4 linked regions of the Caenorhabditis elegans genome follow. The protein of the gene in region 2 purifies or fractionates together with the protein of the main gene of each other region. This does not show direct contact. Each region holds a gene or a part of one and is shown on either strand. Other genes may lie near its edges. The genes, in order: nduf-9, R53.4, nuo-5 and nuo-6.

Region 1 (7,692 bases), on a different chromosome or scaffold from region 2:
GTGAAGAATCTATTTTTTTCAGTTTTAGTATGAAAAATTTGAAAAATTTCGTTGCTTTTCAATAAAAAACTAATTTTCAGACGTGGCCTAGAAAAATAACCGGAAAAGTTAGGCCACGCAGCATTTTTCTAGAAAATTGCAAATTTTTCGAGAAACGCGTTATGTCTTCACTTTTAATTTTGAAAAACGTGCTTAATTTGCTTTTTAATCAAATTTTTTCAAATTTTAAGACGTGGCCAAGAAAAACCAGCTGAAAAAATAGGCCACGAAATTTTTCTTCGAAAAGCTCCATTTTTCCGCGATTTCGCCGCTGGAAATTAACTTTCGGCCAACGTTTCTGTGAAAATTATTTTTTAAAACTCTAAATATCTGCCAAAAAACCACTGTGGCCTAAACAATTCCATTGATTTTTCCAGTATTCTTCTTACTTATCGTCACGTTTGCCGGATTTTCATTTTCCCGCCCCGACCACCATTCGAGGAACTGCAAAGTAAGTGCGCTCTAGCGAACAACGAAGCTGCAAACGCGCTCCATTGAGAATTTTGCTTAAATGGTGGAAATCTCGGGGGTTTCTGGAGATATATCGATTTTTATTCGATATTTCGCTGAAAAAAATTGAAAAATTTGAGAAAAATCATTCAAAACCCTAGTTTTTCGCCGATTTTTTCCGCATTTTTTCAAGAATTCGGAATATTTTTTGATTTCCAGGCTTACCGACGACCGGCTCTAAACGAAGTGCTCACGAGAATATGCCTACTTTGCCATGAAATGTTTTCAGTCGACCAGCCGAATCTAGCCGCCGAGTGCAGCTCGAATTGCTTCAGGAATCCGGCGTTTAACAAGTGTCTCAACTTTTTTAGGCCGAAATTTTCTCCTTTTCTGGGTTCCACGTGATAAATAAATTGGTTTTAATCGTTAAATTTGAATTTTAATTGACTAAAATTGGTTAAATCGAGAAAAAAAAAGAAAAGAACCACAGTGCGGAGTCGAACCCCGGTGTGTTGCGTGAAAGGCAAAAGAGTTACCAGCAAAGCCACAAAGCAATGTGAACGTAATTTTGAGAGGCGTATACATTGTAGCCATAAATGCTTATTATCTCGATAGCGTATAATATTAATAATTGAGAATTTTGATGTCATTTTCAGTTTAATCTACCAGTATTCTTCTGTAATTTCGCACATTTTGAAGAAATCCCTTGAAAACTTCGCATTTCTATTTAATTCAAAGATTTTAATAATTTTTCTTGAATGTAAAACAAGAAAAGTAATATTTCATTAATTTTTCAACAATTTAGATTGAAAACTCTCTTTAAAACCGCCTTTCTCACCAATTTTTGCTAATTTCAAAGCTTCTCATTCCTCCTTGGAGTACGGTCATCAATCCCCGCCCTTCCAAGTGCGCATTCGAGTCCGCAAACGTCAAACCCGACGCCATATTGCGTACAGGCCAAATTATTTATTTCGGCACCGCGTACTTCATTTTCAGCCATTTTTAGCGGTTTTTCCAGATTTTTTCGCTATTTTCGGTGCTTTTTTGATAAAAAATCGATTTTTTCGACCGGAAAAGCTATTTTTAGCTGGAAAAAATCCCGAAAAAACGCAGAAAACCCATTTAATTCTTAAAAAGTCTTTAAAAATCTTTAAAAATCTTTAAACAATTGCAAATCTCGATTTTCCTAATTTCAGCCATGCTATCAGTGTTGGGTAGATCCGGCTTGGGCGCCCGGCAGGCGGTTTCGGTCGTTGGAAGTCAGAATTTCAGCAGCGCGGTCACCTCCGCCGAAAATGCTCATCCGGAGCCACGTGTCAGCTCTCAGAGTGCTCAATTCAGAAAGGGAGCCGGTGGAAGGTACAGGAAAAGCCTAAGAATGATTTGAAACTGGAAAATGTGGAAAAAATCTAGGAAAAATTGAAAAAACATTGAAAAAAAATCAATTTTTTCCCAAAAAAAATCGTTAAAAATTCCAAATTTTTGCAGAGCCTCCTTCTCCGGCAATGTGGTGACCGTATTCGGTGCGTCAGGCTTCTTGGGACTTCCAGTTGTCAATAAATTCGCGAAAAATGGCTCACAAATCATTATTCCGTATCGCCAGGATCCGTATTACATGAGAGAGCACAAAGTGCTCGGCGAGCTCGGACAAGTCCTCTATTTTCCATTTGAGCTGATGGATGAGGAGAGCATTCGAAAGGTATTAAAATTCGTGGAAATTGAGAGAAAAATCGAGTTTTCTAGGTGAAAATCGAGAAAAATTGGATTTTTCTCTAGAAAATCCAGAAAAAATAGAGTTTTCTCAGTGAAAATCGAGAAAAAATGGGTTTTTCTTTAGAAAATTCAGAAAAAATAGAGTTTTCTCAGTGAAAATCGAGAAAAATTAGGTTTTTTCTCTAGAAAATTCCGAAAAAAAAAGAGTTTTCTAGGTGAAAATCGAGAAAAATTGGATTTTTCTCTAGAAAATCCAGAAAAAATCAATTTTTCAGGCTGTAAAGTACTCGAACGTCGTCATCAACTTGATCGGAACTCGTGTGCCGACTGGGTGAGGAAATTGCAGATTTTTGAGCGGAAAAATTCACAAAATATGCCGGAAATTCAAAAAATTCAAATTTCGCGCCGTTTTTGACCAAATAAATCACTCTTTTTCGCTGAAAATTCGAAAAAATGCCTGAAAAACCTTCAAAATGTGGAATTTAACCCTTTTTTCCTACTGAAAATTCAAAAAATAAATTTTTTTACACCAAATTATCATTCAAAATTCAAAAAAAAAGCTCTTTTTTTCCAGTTTTTTCATTGAAAAACTCAAAATTCCTCACTTTTTCCAACTGAAAATCAATTAAAAATTGAAAAATCCCCTTAAATTTTGAATTTGGCTCCACTTTTTGGCTAAAAATTTGAAAAATGTCCGAAAAATCTTCAAAATTTTGAGTTTCGCGCCGTTTTTTTCACTGAAAATTCAAAAAATATTTTTAAAAAATTCAAAAAAAACTAAATTGCTCAATTTTTCTCCAAAATTTTCGAGAAAACTGCCATTTTCTATTGAAAAATTCAAATTTCCCCACTTTTTCCTTCTAAAAATCCCAATTTTAAGCCATTTTTCCTTGCAGAAAGTACAATTACTATGACGTCAACGACACGGGAGCCCGCCGTTTGGCTCGAATTTGCAAAGAAATGGGTGTGGAGAAATTTGTGCATTTGTCGGCTCTCGGAGCAACTACACAACCACAAAAGGGACATTTTGTCGCAAAATCGCAATTTCTTCATTCAAAAGGACTCGGAGAAGTTGCTGTACGTGAAGAATTCCCAGAAGCAACAATTATTCGCCCATCTGTGATCTACGGTGAATTGGATGGATTTATTCAATATTATGTGTCAAGATGGCGAAAAACTCCATTGGATTATGTGTATTTGTACAAGAAGGGAGAAGAAACGTATAAAATGCCGATTTGGGTACGGAATTGGCCGATAATTCATGAAAAATGACCTAAAATACGTGAAAATTGGCCGAAAATGACTGAAAATGGCTGAAATTTGGCACAAAATTAAATATTTTAACGAAAAACTCACAAAAACCGAGATTTTTTGAAAATTTACGATTTTCACATTAAAAATTGTCAAAAAAATTTTATTTTCCGTTAATATTGATTAAAATTATAGAAAAATCCATTTTCAACCGAATTTTGAACGAAATTAATCAAAATTTCATAAAATACATTTTAAAAAAAGCTCAAAATACGTGAAATTCGCCAAAAATGCTGAACAATTACTTAAAATTCAAAAAAATTGAAGTAATTTGACCAAAAAACTGAATTTTAGTCAATAAAAATTCAAAAATGGCTGAAAATTGTTTGAATATTGAAAATTGGGCGAAAATTCATGAAAAATGACCTAAAATACGTGAAAATCGGCCAAAAATGACGAAAAAAAATTTTTTTTTAAAGTAGAAAATTTCATGAAAATCGAGAAAAATGGTGTAATTTGACCTAATAACTGAATTTTAAAAATAAAAAGTCGAAAATCCGTGAAAATCGGTCTAAATCTACGAAATTTCATGAAAATTCGCTTGAAATTGAGAAAAATGACTCAAAATTCATTACAATAAATCCAAATGAACTGAAAAATGTCAAAATTCATAAAAATTGGCCTAATACAAATAAAATGAGTCCAAATATTTATGAAAAGTCTCGAAATTTCATATAAAGTTGCTCAAAATACGTGAAATTCGCTAAAAATTGCTGGAATTTATTTAATTTGCTTAAAAATTAGAAAAAAATTTCAAAATTCAAGGAAATTGGCATAAGTCCGTCTAAAAATTGAATTTTAAATTTAAAAAGTCAAAAATTCCAACAAATCGGCCAAAAATTACTGAAAATTGTTCAAAATATGACCAATTTTTGTTTGAAAATCGGAAAAATTACTCAAAATTCGAGAAACGCTGTAATTTGCGAAATTTTATGAAAAAAAAGCCTTAAAACCATTTAAATTGGCCAAAAATGACTGAAAATGGCTGAAATTTGGCACAAAATTGAAAATTTTCGGAATTTCACCCAAAATTTCATAAAATTTGATAAAACTAGTCGAAAATTGGTAGAATTTCGGCAAAAATCGTATTTTCACACAGAAAATTGTCAAAAAATTGCTAAAAATGACAAATTTTGACTGAAAAACTTGAATTTTTGCTTAAATTTCATCAAAATGTAAAAATCGGTAAAATTCCAGAAAAATTCACCGAAATTTGCAAATTTTGGCTTAAAATTGTCCATTTTTGCCGAAAAAAAATTGATGGTAGGCGGCGGTAGGCATAAAGTAGGCACAATTTTTTTTTTGCGAAAAAATGCAAAAAATGTCCAAATTTCGCATATTTTGACTCAAAACCTCGGCCAAAAATGGTGTAATTTGACCTAATAACTGAATTTTAAAAATAAAAAGTCGAAAATCCGTGAAAATCGGTCTAAATCTACGAAATTTCATGAAAATTCGCTTGAAATTGAAAAAAATGACTCAAAATTCATTACAATAAATCCAAATGAACTGAAAAATGTCAAAATTCATAAAAATTGGCTTTTAATACAATTAAAATGAGTCCAAATATTTATGAAAAGTCTCGAAATTTCATATAAAGTTGCTCAAAATATGTGAAATTCGCTAAAAATTGATGGAATTTATTTAATTTGCTTAAAAATTAGAGAAAAAAAATTTCAAAATTCAAGGAAATGAGGCTTAAAGTTACCTATAAACGCTGGAATTTGCGAAATTTTATGAAAAAAAGCTTTAAAACCATTTAAATTGTCCAAAAATGACTGAAAATGGCTGAAATTTGGCACAAAACTGAAAATTTTCGGAATTTCACCCAAAATTTGATAAAACTAGTCGAAAATTGGTAGAATTTTGGCAAAAATCGTTTTCTCCTCAAAAATGTAACAAAATTTTCGATTTTCACACAGAAAATTGTCAAAAAATTGCTAAAAATGACAAATTTTGACTGAAAATCTCGAATTTTTGCTTAAATTCCATCAAAAATGATGATTTTTTCAGAAAAATTCACCGAAATTTGCAAATTTTGGCTTAAAATTGTCCATTTCTGCCGAAAAAAAATTGATGGTAGGCATAAGTAGGCACCATTTTATTGCGAAAAATGACCAAATTTTGGATATTTTGACTCAAAACCTTGAATTTTTGCCAAAATTCAATTCATTTTTCGCACAATTTCAGTAAAAATAACTCAAAATTTACCATTTTTTGCCGAATTTTCAACGAAATTGATCAAAATTTCGAGAAAATCGGCGAAAAATCACTAAAAAAATCTCGATTTTCTTGCAGGTTGCTTTTTTAGTTTTTAGTTTTAGTTTAAAAAAGAAAAATCGGCCAAAAATGAGTGAAAATTGTTCAAAATAGGCCCAATTTGTTTGAAAATTCAAAAAATTACTCGAAATACATACAATTCGGCCTAAAACTGCCTATAAACGGTGGAATTTGCGAAAATAAGCGAAATAAAAAAAAAAGCTTTAAAAACGTTTAAATTGGCCAAAAATGACAAAAAATGGCTGAAATTTGGTCCAAAATTGAAAATTTTGAAGAAAATTGACGATTTTTGACGAAAAACATACAAAAAATCGTTTAAAAATGTTATCAATTCCAATTTTCGGTAATTTCCCATATTCACTTGAAAAAAATTGTTGAAACATTGCTAAAAATGGCAAGTATATATATTGAATTTTTTGGTTAAATTCCATTAAAAAACGGTATTTTCGCGCGAAATTTCATTAAAAGGAGTGAAAATCCGTAAAATTTCAAAAAAAATTCACAGAAATTTGCAAATTTTGGCTCAAAATTTACCATTTTTTGCCGAGTTTTCAACGAAATTGATCAAAATTTCGAGAAAATTGGCGAAAAATTCCGATTTTCTTGCAGGTTGGAGACGTTGCCGCCGGAATTCAAAGTGCTGTAAATGATCCAACAGCAAAAGGACATACTTATGAATTTGTTGGACCACACTGCTATCAATTGTCTGAATTGATTGATTTCATGTACAAAAAAGCGCATTGTTTGTCTGATTTTGGATTCAGGTACCCGGTTTTTCGATTTTCCCGCCGAAAATTGGCCTAAAATGAAGGAAAATTGCTAATTTTTGGGCAAAAAAATCATGAAAATTGATAATTTTTAACGAGAAATTCATGAAAATTGGACTTAAAAATCGTGAAAACTGGGTCTCGCCACGAAAACTTTATTTTTTTCAAATTTAAAGGCACATGGGTTGTGCATCAATCAGGAAATTTTGAAAATTCGAATTCTCCTCAAAATTCTAGGCTTGTAGCTTTAATCGGGTCTCGCAACGAAAATTTCACGAGTACAGTAACCCGCGAGATATTATTCCGTGGCGAGACCTTAAAAAATCAAAAAAATCAATATTTTCACTGAAAATTGATGATTTTTAACGTGAACTTTATGAAAATTGGCTAAAAAATATAAATTTAGACGTAAAAATCGTGAAAACTACATTTTTTTTTGGGTCTCGCCACGAAAAAGTTGAAAAAAAAAAATTTCTTGAGTACAGTAACCCGCGAGGTATTGTTTCGTGGCGGCGGGACCCAGGCGTGAAATTTCGAGAAAAATCGCGAATTTTTCAATTATTTTCGTGGCGGGACCCGAGAAAAAGCTCAAATTTTTGCAGATACAAGCGTCACGGAATGCCGGATCCATATTTCATGGCTCTCACAATGGCCACCGAACTCTATGGTAAAGTGTTCAAGTGTAAAGTTCCACTCAACAGAGAATGGATGGAGTTTGTGGTAGGTTTTAGGGCTTAAAATGAGCAAAAACGCCTCAAATTTTAGATTTTTTTAATTAAAAATCGGTTTTCCGCCAAAAATCGGGCAATTTTTACGGAAAAATCCATTTTTTAAGTGAAAAACACTTAAAAAAAACTGATTTTTGAGTCAAAAAATTGGAAATTTCGGAAAGCCTACCTACGCCTGCCTTGTGCCTACCGTTGAATTGTTAAATCAGGTAGGCGTAGGCACAATTTTGAGGAATTTTTTTTGTAGAAGTGGCGGAAACAACCCGATTTTCATCAAAAAAATTCGAAAAAAATCGAAAATTTTTTCAAAATTATCGATTTTTAGTCGAAAAATGGATTTTATTGATTTTTTTTTTTGAAAAAAAAATTTAGCGAATAAAATCGATAATTTACGGAAATTATCG
Region 2 (2,844 bases):
GAGATATTGATCAATTAGCTTTCCAATTGAAGAGGAACGATCTGAATTTTTGAAAATAAAAAAATATTTTTTAATTCTCTAGTTAAACCTGGAAAAGCTTGAAGAACGGCTGATGGGGAAGATGAAGCATCTCCGGATTCTGTGGATTTTTTGTTGATGGACTCAACGAGTCGCTTGGCTTGTGTCGACTTGCCGGACCGATCGAGCCCTGTTAAAATATTAAAATATTGATATTTCTTTAAAATTAAGCTAAATCAAATACCTTCGAATACAATCAGGAGCCCTCGTTTCTGATCAGTAGCCATAGGTGAAGAGATGAGGCTCTGGAAATAAGACAGCATGGAGAAATATAAAATAAAATAGAAACATGAAGACGCGCTTCTATAGAATCGGAACTTTAGATCTACAGATTCAAATCTAAAGATAAAGCCGACAGCGAAAAAATCCAGAAAATCGCATCGGCTATCTAACCTTCTTCTTAATATTTCTATTCAACCGATCCATACACTATTTATTCTCTCATAGAAAAAAGACACAAACGGACAAAATCGATAGGGGACTAAATTAACAGAAGACGTCTCGAGAATGAGATGAATTGGGGGAAAAAAGAATACGAAAAAATCGGATGGCTGTTTCGTCCTCCCCCAGCGACAGAGTTTGTATGTGGAGCTTTGAAGAGTAGACGAAATCGGATGGTGTCTACCAATGGTACATCGTCTTCTGGAAATCGACGTAACGGTGAGACTTGACGAGCCAATTGAGGAACGAGTAGGCGAAGATGAAGCGGAAGATTACCTTGACCTAAAAATAAAAAAAATTAGTATTTTTTTTTTAAATTTAAACGAACAGTGTTATTGTAGACTGGTCCTGAGTAATAGAGGTTGTGGACTCTCCAGATATTGCGCATGAACTCGTTGTAGAAGGCAGATGGGGTCTTCTCACGACGAGCCATCCAGGCTGGAAGATCTCCTAGCTTCACATCCATGAACTTGGTATCAAGCTTTCCGTAGTATCTCCAGTGGCAGTATGGTCCGTGAACGTTCTTGTTCCATCTCTTGTCGAACAATCCAACCTCGGTCTTGTTCAACACGCTAAAAATTATATCGGTTATTTTTGGAAAAGAATTTTATTCGTCGTTTTCAGACAATGACAAACCGGTTGTAGAAGAACACTCCGACACGCTCAACGGCGCGAGAGATCGGGATAAAGATCGCGTCCGGAACCCATGGTCTGAGTTGAGTGTGTGGTGGTGGAGGACGGAACCAGGCCATAACTGAAAATTCGAAGAATTAAAAAAATAAAAATAAACCAGATATTTAATTAAATAGTGAGAATCGAGTAACGATTAAGCCAAATAATCAATAAACAAGAAATTAATTAGAAAAACAACCAAAACAGGCATTTTGTTCAATTTAGCAAATATACACATGAATATCAGGAAGAATATACATTTAAAAAAGAACGTTCCAGCTCCAATAATCCTTAACTATGTGCTAAATATTGTTTTAAATATAAACATGTATTTTTGTAAACATTGATCATTATCGACCATGGGATTACGTTTCAGTAACGCCTAAAACGAATTTAACTCAGAATTTAGTGATATATTTGATTTTAGAAGAAATTAATTGAGTAAATAATGAAAAATCGTCAATATTCCACTTTTAAAAAATGCTTAAGAAAAATGTGTGCAGTTTTCAACGGGCGGCGATACATTTCGGCTAATCGCTGCGAGACCCATGGCCGTGGCCGAGTCTACAACTAGTTCACAAGAGCCGAAATGGTGGGAAAGTCGAGGACTTTAAATTTAATGTTTTTTATTTTCGAATTTAATATTTAAAATCAAGTATTTCCCTTTAAAATTTTATTTTTCAAATCAACTTTTAATTTTTGCAGTTCAAAAAATGAGTTCCGGCGATCAGAATCGAGGAGGCGTCGCCGACAAAGCACTACAACTTGTTTTAGAGATGAAAAGAAATCCAGATGTATTACCGCCTTATAACGTAAAATTATATCCTATTTTCTGCTTTAAATTTGAGTTCTTTTCAGACAGAACTTGTACGCCAATGTTATCAGAAAATCGATGAGTTGTTTCAAAAGAATGCTGCCGTCGTGTAAGTGATACATTTCGGAAGCGTACCGATTCGTTCGTGACTTCTTGATTTAAAATCATATTTTTCAGTGAAAAAATCCGTGCAGGACTCCCTCATGATTCTACGCTTCTTCAACCTCGTTTAGCTGCAATGTGCCATATTCGAGTAAGTCGAGAAGGTCGATTTTTGAAATATTGTAGTGGTTCAATTTTCCAGCGTTGCATGATGGCCTATGTGAACGAGAGGAAAAACAGGATTCGATCATTCAGATGGAAGTATGGAGGTGCTCTTCCCGCGTCTGTTAGGGTAATCGGTGCACATGATTAAAATTTGTCAACCATTATTTTTCAGAACGCCCTCTGCGATGCGGAAATTCAGTTTTTCAATGAGTATTCGAGCACATTGGCAAGATTCCAAAGCAATCTTGGAGAAGGTGGTGTTAATCTGCTGCTTCATTCTGCACCACCGAAGTCACTTTTTGTACAAGTTAGAGCTCTCGAGGATTATGGAGAATTTGAAACGTCAGATGGAACTCAAGTTCAGCTGTCCAAGGATAGTTTGGTAAGTCTTCGAATTTTTCTTTATTTGAAAAAAGAGAAATCCCGTTTTTAATTTTTTAAATAATGTATAACATTTTTCAGCACTCCCTTCCACGCCAAGACTGCGAAATGCTGATACGTCAGGGTGTTCTCGAGCTTGTTCATTGACTTGTTGTCGGTATTTTGTTTTCAACCTGTGATCTGTATAAATA
Region 3 (4,725 bases), on a different chromosome or scaffold from region 2:
AACGAGGAGAATAAATATAAACGGCGCCCGACGATGGATTGGATGCGCGGGCTCTGGAGAGCAAAACATGGCGGCTCCGGGGTCCCACAGGAACGGGCTTCCGCGAAAAAAATCGCGCTTTTCGTGATTTTCCTGGCCGTTTTGGCTTTGATTACGGTTGGATTTTAAAAAGCGACTTTTATAGACTCAAAAACGCCAAAAAAATATTTTTTCCCTGAAAAAATGGCCTAATTTTAGCTAAAATACATCAATTTCGCCGACTTTTCCGTGTTGCATCTGTCGGAAATTCGCTTTTATTTGATTTTATCACAGTTTATTTTCAATTTTTATCGTTTTTCTCACGTTTTTTTCGTTATTTAGTGTACATTTGAAGCATATAAACCGAAAACGACGTGAGGGCGGAGCCTAAACCGCAATCCTGCGGCGCGATGTTTCGCAACTCCACCGCGCGACTATTTTTTACAAGTTTTTAAGTTTTTTTTCGCATTTTTCGAATAAAATTTCCAGTATATCGTGATTTTTTCGAGATATTTCGATAAAATCTCATGAAAAAAAAATTTCGACTGACAAAAAAACAGCGCGGCGGAGTTGCGAAATCGCGCGCCGCAGAATTGCGGTCCAGACCCCGCCCACAATTTTTTGCGCTCAACGTCTGCCGTGTGGCTTAAAATGTACATTAAATAGCGAAAAAATGTGTAATAAACAATAAAAATATAAAATAAACGATGAAATTTCATGAAAATAAAATATAAGTCAATTTCCGACCGCTGCGACACGGAAAAGTCGGCGAAATTGGTGTATTTTAGCTAAAATTGAGCGATTTTGAGTATTTTTAAGCGAATTTTGAGCTTTTTGAGCAAATTTTGAGTGTTTTTAATCAAATTTCGCAAATTTTGAGTCATTTTGATCAAATTTTAAGGCTTTTTGAGCAAATTTATTGTCTTTTTGAGCAATTTTTTGAGTATTTTAGAGCAATTTTTGAGTATTTTTGAAGGAAATGTTAAGGCTTTTTGATCAAAGTTTGACTTTTTTTGAGTGAATTTTGAGTATTTTTGAGCGAATTTTATGGCTTTTTAAGCAAATTTTGAGTGTTTATGAGTCTTATCAAGCAAATTTAGATTCTAACTTCATTTAATTCCAAATAAATTGTATTTTTCCAGATTATAATGGTGATGAAGCGTGCCGGATACAGCGGCGAGCACTCATCGGACCCCCTTTTCGATCCAATGGCCAATCCGAATATTCGCGTCGCCGTCGAAGATTCTCGTCTTCCACACGTCTAAAAAATTTTTTTTTTTGAAAAAAATGTGCATATCCTTCCCTTTCTGTGTAATATTCAATGTCTACTCATTCCCCAACGAAAAAAAAAGTTTTTCGAAAAATTTTTTATTTTTACTTTCGCCTGCTAATGATGCTAACAAACGGGATTTTTTCTGATTTTTTTCGATTTTTTTCGCTAAAAACTAGCTAAAACTAGCTAAAACTTGGTTGTAATTAATTATTAATTATTTATTCTTTTTTTTTGCCCTATTTCTTGTATATTCGGTGGTTTAAATGGTATTTATTGATTTTTTTTCCTCTAAAAATTGAAATTCGGTTAATTTTCTACCGAGATTTATATTTATTTTCTCTCAATTTTTCGGAAAAAATTTCAGGAAGTAATTGCAATTTCAGAGCACCATGCATCGCGTCGGTGGACAAATTGTCCGCGGAGTGTCGAAGGCTCAACAGAAGAGATCGCTTTCGGTGGCGGCTCCGGCTCCACCGAAAAAGGTGAAAAAACTGGAATTTTCGGCGGAAAAATTGAAGAAAAATGGATTTGGCAAAAAAATAACGAATTAACTAGCGAGAAATTCAAAAAAAAAGCTTAATTTCATCTACAATCTCCAATTTTCCATCATTTTCCATTTAAAATTAGTGCCAGAATATAGAAAATCGCTCGATTTATCGGAAAATCACTTTGATTTTAGCTGAAATGTTGGAGAAAGCGCTCAAAAAGACAGTTTTGAGCTTTTTCTCAACTGTTTCATCCGAAATTAATGTGATTTTCTCGATGAATCGAGTGATTTTCTATATTTTGGCACTAATTATTAATTGAAAATTTTACAAAATACATGGTGCAATGATGTTTTACTAAAATCAAAAATGTTTTCGTTTTTCAATTAAAAAAATCGAAAAATTCCGTTTTTCGGTTCGAAAAATCAAAAATTTTTAGATTTTTCCTTTAAAAAACGGAAAATTTAGTTTTTTTAATTTCCGAAAAAAGAACAAATCGAAAAAGTACGTTATTTAATTTAAACAAAAATCTAAATTTCTTCGTTTTTCAATTGAAAAAAAAATCGTTATTTCCTGTAAAAAAATCAAAAATTTAGTTTTTCGGTTCAAAAATCGGAATTTTTTCGATTTTTCCTGTAAACATCGAATTTTTTTTTAAATGCTCGATTTTCTCTGACAATTTTTTTTACAAAAAAATAAAAATTATTCGATTTTTCCTGTAAAAAATCTAATTTTTTTTTTCAATTAAAATGATCGAAACATTTCGTTTTTAAATTTATCAACAAAAAAAACATAAAATGAAAAAAGCACGTTTTTCAATTAAAAAAAAATCGAAAAATTACGTTTTTCAATTTTAAAAAATCTAATTTTCCTGTAAAAAATCTAAAAATTTAGCTTTCAGTTCAAAAAATCAGAATTTTTTCGATGATTTTTCCTGTAAAAAATCGAAAATTCGTTTTTTTTTCAATTTTTAAAAATATATCGTAAATATATATTTTTCGATTTTCCGGAACCTAAAAACCCAACATTTTTTTCAATTAAAAAAAAAAAAAAACGAAACAAATTTCTTCCATTTTCCGAAAACAAAAAACTTAAAAAAAAAATTTTTTTTCGATTTTCAAATAAAAAAAATCGAAATTTTTCGATTTTCCCTGTAAAAATCAACAAAAAAACCACTAAAAATCACCTCATTTTCTTCCAGGTCGAAGTCTTCATCGACGACAAAAAAGTGCTCGTCGACCCGGGAATGACGATTCTCCAAGCGTGCGCGCTCGTCGGCGTCGACATCCCACGCTTCTGCTATCACGACCGTCTCTCAATTGCCGGAAACTGCCGAATGTGTCTGGTAGAGGTGGAGAAGTCGGTGAAGCCTGTCGCATCATGTGCGATGCCTGTCATGAACGGAATGAAAGTCAAAACCAACTCGGATTTCGTGAAAAAAGCTCGCGAAGGGGTGATGGAGTTCATGCTCAACAACCATCCACTCGACTGCCCGATTTGTGATCAAGGTGGCGAATGTGATCTACAGGATCAGGCGATGAATTTCGGATCCGATCGTGGGCGGCTTCAGTCGAGATTCGATGGAAAACGGGCTCTCGAGGATAAGAATATCGGGCCGTTGGTGAAAACTGTGATGACTCGATGTATTCAGTGTACTCGATGTGTCCGATTCGCTAATGAAGTGGCCGCTTTTCCGGATTTCGGCACCACCGGACGAGGACAAGATCTTCAAATTGGCACCTACGTCGAGAAATTTTTTGCTTCAGAGCTCTCTGGGAATATTATCGATATTTGTCCGGTCGGAGCTCTTACCAGCAAGCAGTACGCGTTTACGGCCCGGCCCTGGGAGACTAGAAAGACTGAAAGTGTTGATGTGATGGATGCGACCGGATCGAATATTGTGCTTTCGCATCGGACTGGCGAGCTTCTGCGGGTTATTCCGAAAATCAACGATGTACGGAGTTTTGAAACGAATTTTTTGGAAGACATAGCTTTGAAAATTTTGAAGAAGAATCGATATTTTTCGAATGTCGAAAAAAAAATTGTATTTTTGGCCATTTTTCACTTTTTTTGGAGAAAAAATCGATATTTTTCAATTTTCTCTGAAAAAAATCGAAAATTTACAGATTTTTTGAATTTTGATAATTAAAAAGTTGAAAATTGTGTAGTCTAGTTTGGAACAGGGGTGTGCGGCAAATGGAAAAAATTGCCGAGCTCGGCAAATCGGCAATTGCTGGTTTTTCAAAATTTGCCGAGCTCGGCAAATTCGGCAAATCTCTTTTTTCAATATTTGCCGAGCACGGCAAATTCGGCAAATTTGCAGAGCTCGGCAAATTCGGCAAATTCGGCAAATTTGCCGTGCTTAACAAACTCGGAAAAATTTGATATTTTTTATGTTTTGTGGAGCACCAAAACTACTGAATTCTTAACACACATCTGGTTTCTGAATAAGTTCCGCGTAGTATGTCTGTTTAAGCATCAAAATAGCTCAATTTTGTGTCATTTTACTAAATTTTTGGCTAAAAAATCAATAGTTTTATTCAAAATTGTACTGTCAAATTTTTCACGTGTGCGGCAAATTTCGAAATTTGCCGAGCTCGGCAAATTCGGAAAATCTACTTTTTTGAAAATTGCCGAGCTCGGCAAATCGGCAATTGCTGGTTTTTTTAAATTTGCCGAATTCGGCAAGTCGGCAATTTTCGGCAAATCGGCAAATTTGCCGCACACCCCTGGTTTGGAATAAAAAATTGTTCGGCAACATTTTACTTTTTATGAATTTTTAATGCTTTTTGAGCTGTTATCGGTAAAAATCGATTTTTTTTTCAGAGAAAATCAAAAAAAAAATCTAATTTTCTGAAAATAACTTAAAAAGCTTATTTTCGATAAATAAATTCATTTAAAGTAGATATTTGCCGGAAAATTTTTTTCCGAACTATTATACAACTTTCA
Region 4 (3,365 bases), on a different chromosome or scaffold from region 2:
ATTCCAAGTCAAACCACATTGGCTTATTCCAATTGGAAAAGAGACATGGCTTGGAATTGAAGTAATATTCGATCAGGTAGTTGAGGAAACCAAGAACTTTCAACCGACTGAACCAACTACAAACGGAACATCAGCAGACAGTAGATCTCCTCGATTCAGACAGCTATAACAAACAAATCAACACGTGTCTTTGGACGACGACGAACTTGTCAAGAAGCGGGTTTCTACCATTTTTGTCTTTGTTAGACTTGAAATCAATAAACTTAATAACAATGTATTAAATACCAGTGAAACGACCGGATGATATGACAGGATATAACAAAAAATTAATAAAAATTTCAATTGGACGATGTAGATGGCTGGTTGTCCTTCGTAAAGTTGATTAATTCGACTTCAGATGCAACTTCAGGGATCGCATGAAAACGGGTACGGAGTGGATCCACGAACAGTTGAACTGCCGCCATAACGTTCGGAGGATAGTCTTGCTCACAGAAGCGGTAATTGCCTTGTTGACATTCACTGAAAATACCGGCAAGAATAGATTTCTCAGTATCTGGAGTTGTCGTAGCTTCGGTTTCGATAGTGTCTAGTACTTTGGAGACAACTGCCGCTTCTGAAAATAAAACTGTAGCGCTGGTTAAGTTCCCTCAGAGTTAGAATTATTCTGGGTTTACTGACCAAGTTCATTGAGCGCTGGCATTTGCTCTTCCAATGTGGCACATGCTTTCATGAATCTGTAAATGACTGGCCATCTTATATTTTGAGAGTCAGTTCTTGTAGCTTTTGCGGTGAGAAGTTTGGTCACCACCGCATTTTCGTGAGTTTTAGATTCTAGAGCGAGATTCTCGAAGAGTGTCTGAAAATTTGAGCATTTTTCAATTGCTGACTAATAAAATATAAAACCTCATAAGTATCTCTAAGAGAAGGTAGGGTCTTGTTGATTGATCCATGATGATGATCGACTATTTTTCCCATGATACTGCTCCAGTCGTCATTTGGATCCACTTGGCAAAATGGTGGAGGAGTGATATTATGATGTCCTGCTTCGATCCATTTATTTTTGTAACACTCAGGGAGAATAATCTCTTTGTGTTCCTTGATAATCTCTCGAATCTCGTCAATTTTCGCCCTGAAAAAGAATAATGATTAAATGTTGAACATATATTTTAAAAACTTACTTTATCTCTTCGATAGATCGTTTTTTTACAATGTTTCGGTGAATATAGTTTATGGCTTCAATTTTGGTACCATACTTCATCACTCCATCCAATAAACTTCTCAAGTCGTCACTGGACCAATTGCCACCATTGAAGCTGCGACCTTCTGCGAGAATCTACAAAATTTTACATTTTTAAATAGTTTATTTTATTAGAAAACTGACTCTGTCCAGTGGTGATGGTTCTTCGGTTACAGTATGGTTTGCGACTTCAAAAGCCATAGAGCTACCGGGAATTTCATTTGTGGGATCGCCGTCGGTTTCCATGGCTAAAATTTGAGTTTTAAGTTAAGTTTAATGTGCGAAAAAAAATAATTATGGCCTCGATTTAGGAAAGAATTGAAGAAAATTGAATTGAGGAAAATTCCTTTCGCTTTGAAATGTGATGTAGATTTACGATAAACAAGGCGCTGTTGCGAAATATCGGAGTGTCGTTTGAACCAGTTGTTCAGAACTTTTTATTTTATTTTTCTTAATTTCCGTCTTGTTTTCCGATTTTGTTTATTAATATTTTAATTCCAGGTTGAACCAAAATGAAGTTGGCATTAAGACTTCTTCGACCAGCTGCCAACCAAAATATTAAATCTCCGAAACTGTGGCAGGATCCAGTGCTTGGATATTTTGAGACTCACGGTAAAACTTTTATTTTATCGATTTATTTTTCATAATTTACTGTTAACTTGTAAAATAATAATTGTTCTGTATAGGAAAGACCGAATTTCTGCCAGGACATGAATACAATCTGAGCGACGAGGAGAAGAAAGCAGTTTTGTGGAGGTAATACGAAAAACGCTTTTTGCTTAAAAGTTTTTAAAAAAATTCTAAAAACAGTGAGAAACATAGTTTTAATTATATTCTCAATTTAAAATTATTTAATTCTATTGAAAAATCAATATATGATAACATTTGCGTTGATGAACACTTATTTCAAGTGATTTATTAGCAATAGAGACAAAAAAAAACAGTTTCTTGATATAATTTACAGAGTATCAAATCAAAAATTGCTTTAAAAAAACTGTTGCGATAAAATTGGATATTAAACACTGAATTAACATAAATTCAGTTTTTAATATCCAACTTTATGATAAAAAAACTACATTTTATTTTTAAAAAATTACTTTCAGATATCGTGTCAAGGAGATTTTGAAGAAGGAATATCTCCGTCGTGAATACGATCCTCATAGCTTCAAGTACAAGGAGGGAGTCACCATGGATCCAGCAATGTTCCGTTGGTATTCTGCTGATATGACTCAAGCCGAGTTCTTCCGTTTCACACCACGCACCGTATTCCTGTACGTCGGAACCGTTTTCGCTCTCTTCTACATTTACACTCGTCTTATGTTTGTCCCAATGGACAAGTCGAATGAAGCATGTTTGGATGGAAAGCTTCTTTGGTGGGATCGTCAACAAGGAAGAACTCTACAAACCGGAGGATCCGGTCTCTTTGCTCCAACCATCGGAATCGACTTCTAATCGTCTCGATCTATCTGTTTTCTTAAATTTACTTTTAGATCCGAATGTAAGCAACTTTTTCTCGATTTTTGTTTTTTTTTAGCTGTGTCGTTATCCTCGTCAAATAAAATTCAGATTTTATTAATGTAAACACTCGTAAATTTATATAAAATAACATTGATGCCTGATGAATTAGATTCCGTAAAAATATGTGTGGAACAGACATCACAGAGAAAAAGAATGAGAAATTTGTGCCTGACTTTCGAGAGAGTTCAAGGGAATTTTTAAGAGAAAAATGGGAGCTGAAACCGTACAATCGGGACGTGTAATTTATAAAATAATATAATAATGTGAAAATCAATAATATCTGCCTGACTGCATTATATCGAGCTCTTTTTTGTGATTTTGTCTTCGAATCACTAGTGCTGTGGAGACAACTGTTAATGATACAATTGTGATAAGAATAAGGGGAAGAACTGGAAGAAGTAGTCGTGGAACACAGAATGGAGAAGGAGCAAGGAGCCCACGATCTGCTGGATCAAGTACAAGAAGTTCTGATGTTGCTACGTCGATCTAAATATTTTATTGTTTTCATGTTAGGAGGATTAAAAAAATATATAATCCGGAAACAATCTATGATTACCTCATAATCAGACCGATCAGCTTCTCTTTTTGTTCGATTTCCATCACCACTTGC

Evidence for each region.
Region 1: the proteins of R53.4 (region 2) and nduf-9 fractionate together in Caenorhabditis elegans (co-fractionation; one large-scale study listed by BioGRID). This does not show direct contact.
Region 3: the proteins of R53.4 (region 2) and nuo-5 fractionate together in Caenorhabditis elegans (co-fractionation; one large-scale study listed by BioGRID). This does not show direct contact.
Region 4: the proteins of R53.4 (region 2) and nuo-6 fractionate together in Caenorhabditis elegans (co-fractionation; one large-scale study listed by BioGRID). This does not show direct contact.

Annotation. Positions count from the first base shown.
Region 1 is NC_003281.10:3,242,569-3,250,260, reverse strand, and holds the start of nduf-9 (NADH dehydrogenase [ubiquinone] 1 alpha subcomplex subunit 9, mitochondrial), read left to right. Parts: upstream 1-1,685; 5' UTR 1,686-1,687; coding exon 1,688-1,848; intron 1,849-1,977; coding exon 1,978-2,188; intron 2,189-2,477; coding exon 2,478-2,533; intron 2,534-3,098; coding exon 3,099-3,441; intron 3,442-6,402; coding exon 6,403-6,557; intron 6,558-7,162; coding exon 7,163-7,280; intron 7,281-7,692. Other genes in the region: Y53G8AL.4 (Apple domain-containing protein), read left to right, coding at 417-490, 709-894.
Region 2 is NC_003280.10:9,966,777-9,969,620, forward strand, and holds R53.4 (Putative ATP synthase subunit f, mitochondrial), read right to left. Parts: upstream 1,274-2,844; 5' UTR 1,272-1,273; coding exon 1,156-1,271; intron 1,092-1,155; coding exon 848-1,091; intron 802-847; coding exon 700-801; 3' UTR 501-699; downstream 1-500. Other genes in the region: dtmk-1 (Thymidylate kinase), read right to left, coding at 1-41, 89-208, 263-305; psf-1 (putative DNA replication complex GINS protein PSF1), read left to right, coding at 1,905-2,003, 2,050-2,114, 2,183-2,258, 2,310-2,399, 2,445-2,654, 2,735-2,800. UniProt on the Caenorhabditis elegans protein: Mitochondrial membrane ATP synthase (F(1)F(0) ATP synthase or Complex V) produces ATP from ADP in the presence of a proton gradient across the membrane which is generated by electron transport complexes of the respiratory chain.
Region 3 is NC_003283.11:2,697,298-2,702,022, forward strand, and holds the start of nuo-5 (NADH-ubiquinone oxidoreductase 75 kDa subunit, mitochondrial), read left to right. Parts: upstream 1-1,674; 5' UTR 1,675-1,680; coding exon 1,681-1,773; intron 1,774-2,977; coding exon 2,978-3,730; intron 3,731-4,725. Other genes in the region: Y45G12B.2 (Zinc finger protein-like 1 homolog), read left to right, coding at 1-156, 1,161-1,283.
Region 4 is NC_003279.8:7,067,560-7,070,924, reverse strand, and holds nuo-6 (NADH dehydrogenase [ubiquinone] 1 beta subcomplex subunit 4), read left to right. Parts: upstream 1-1,738; 5' UTR 1,739-1,749; coding exon 1,750-1,849; intron 1,850-1,923; coding exon 1,924-1,993; intron 1,994-2,340; coding exon 2,341-2,689; 3' UTR 2,690-2,809; downstream 2,810-3,365. Other genes in the region: W01A8.6 (Peptidase M14 domain-containing protein), read left to right, coding at 1-169; tofu-5 (Twenty One u-rna (21U-RNA) biogenesis Fouled Up), read right to left, coding at 339-613, 679-856, 904-1,129, 1,179-1,333, 1,382-1,483; cutl-6 (ZP domain-containing protein), read right to left, coding at 3,026-3,241, 3,312-3,365.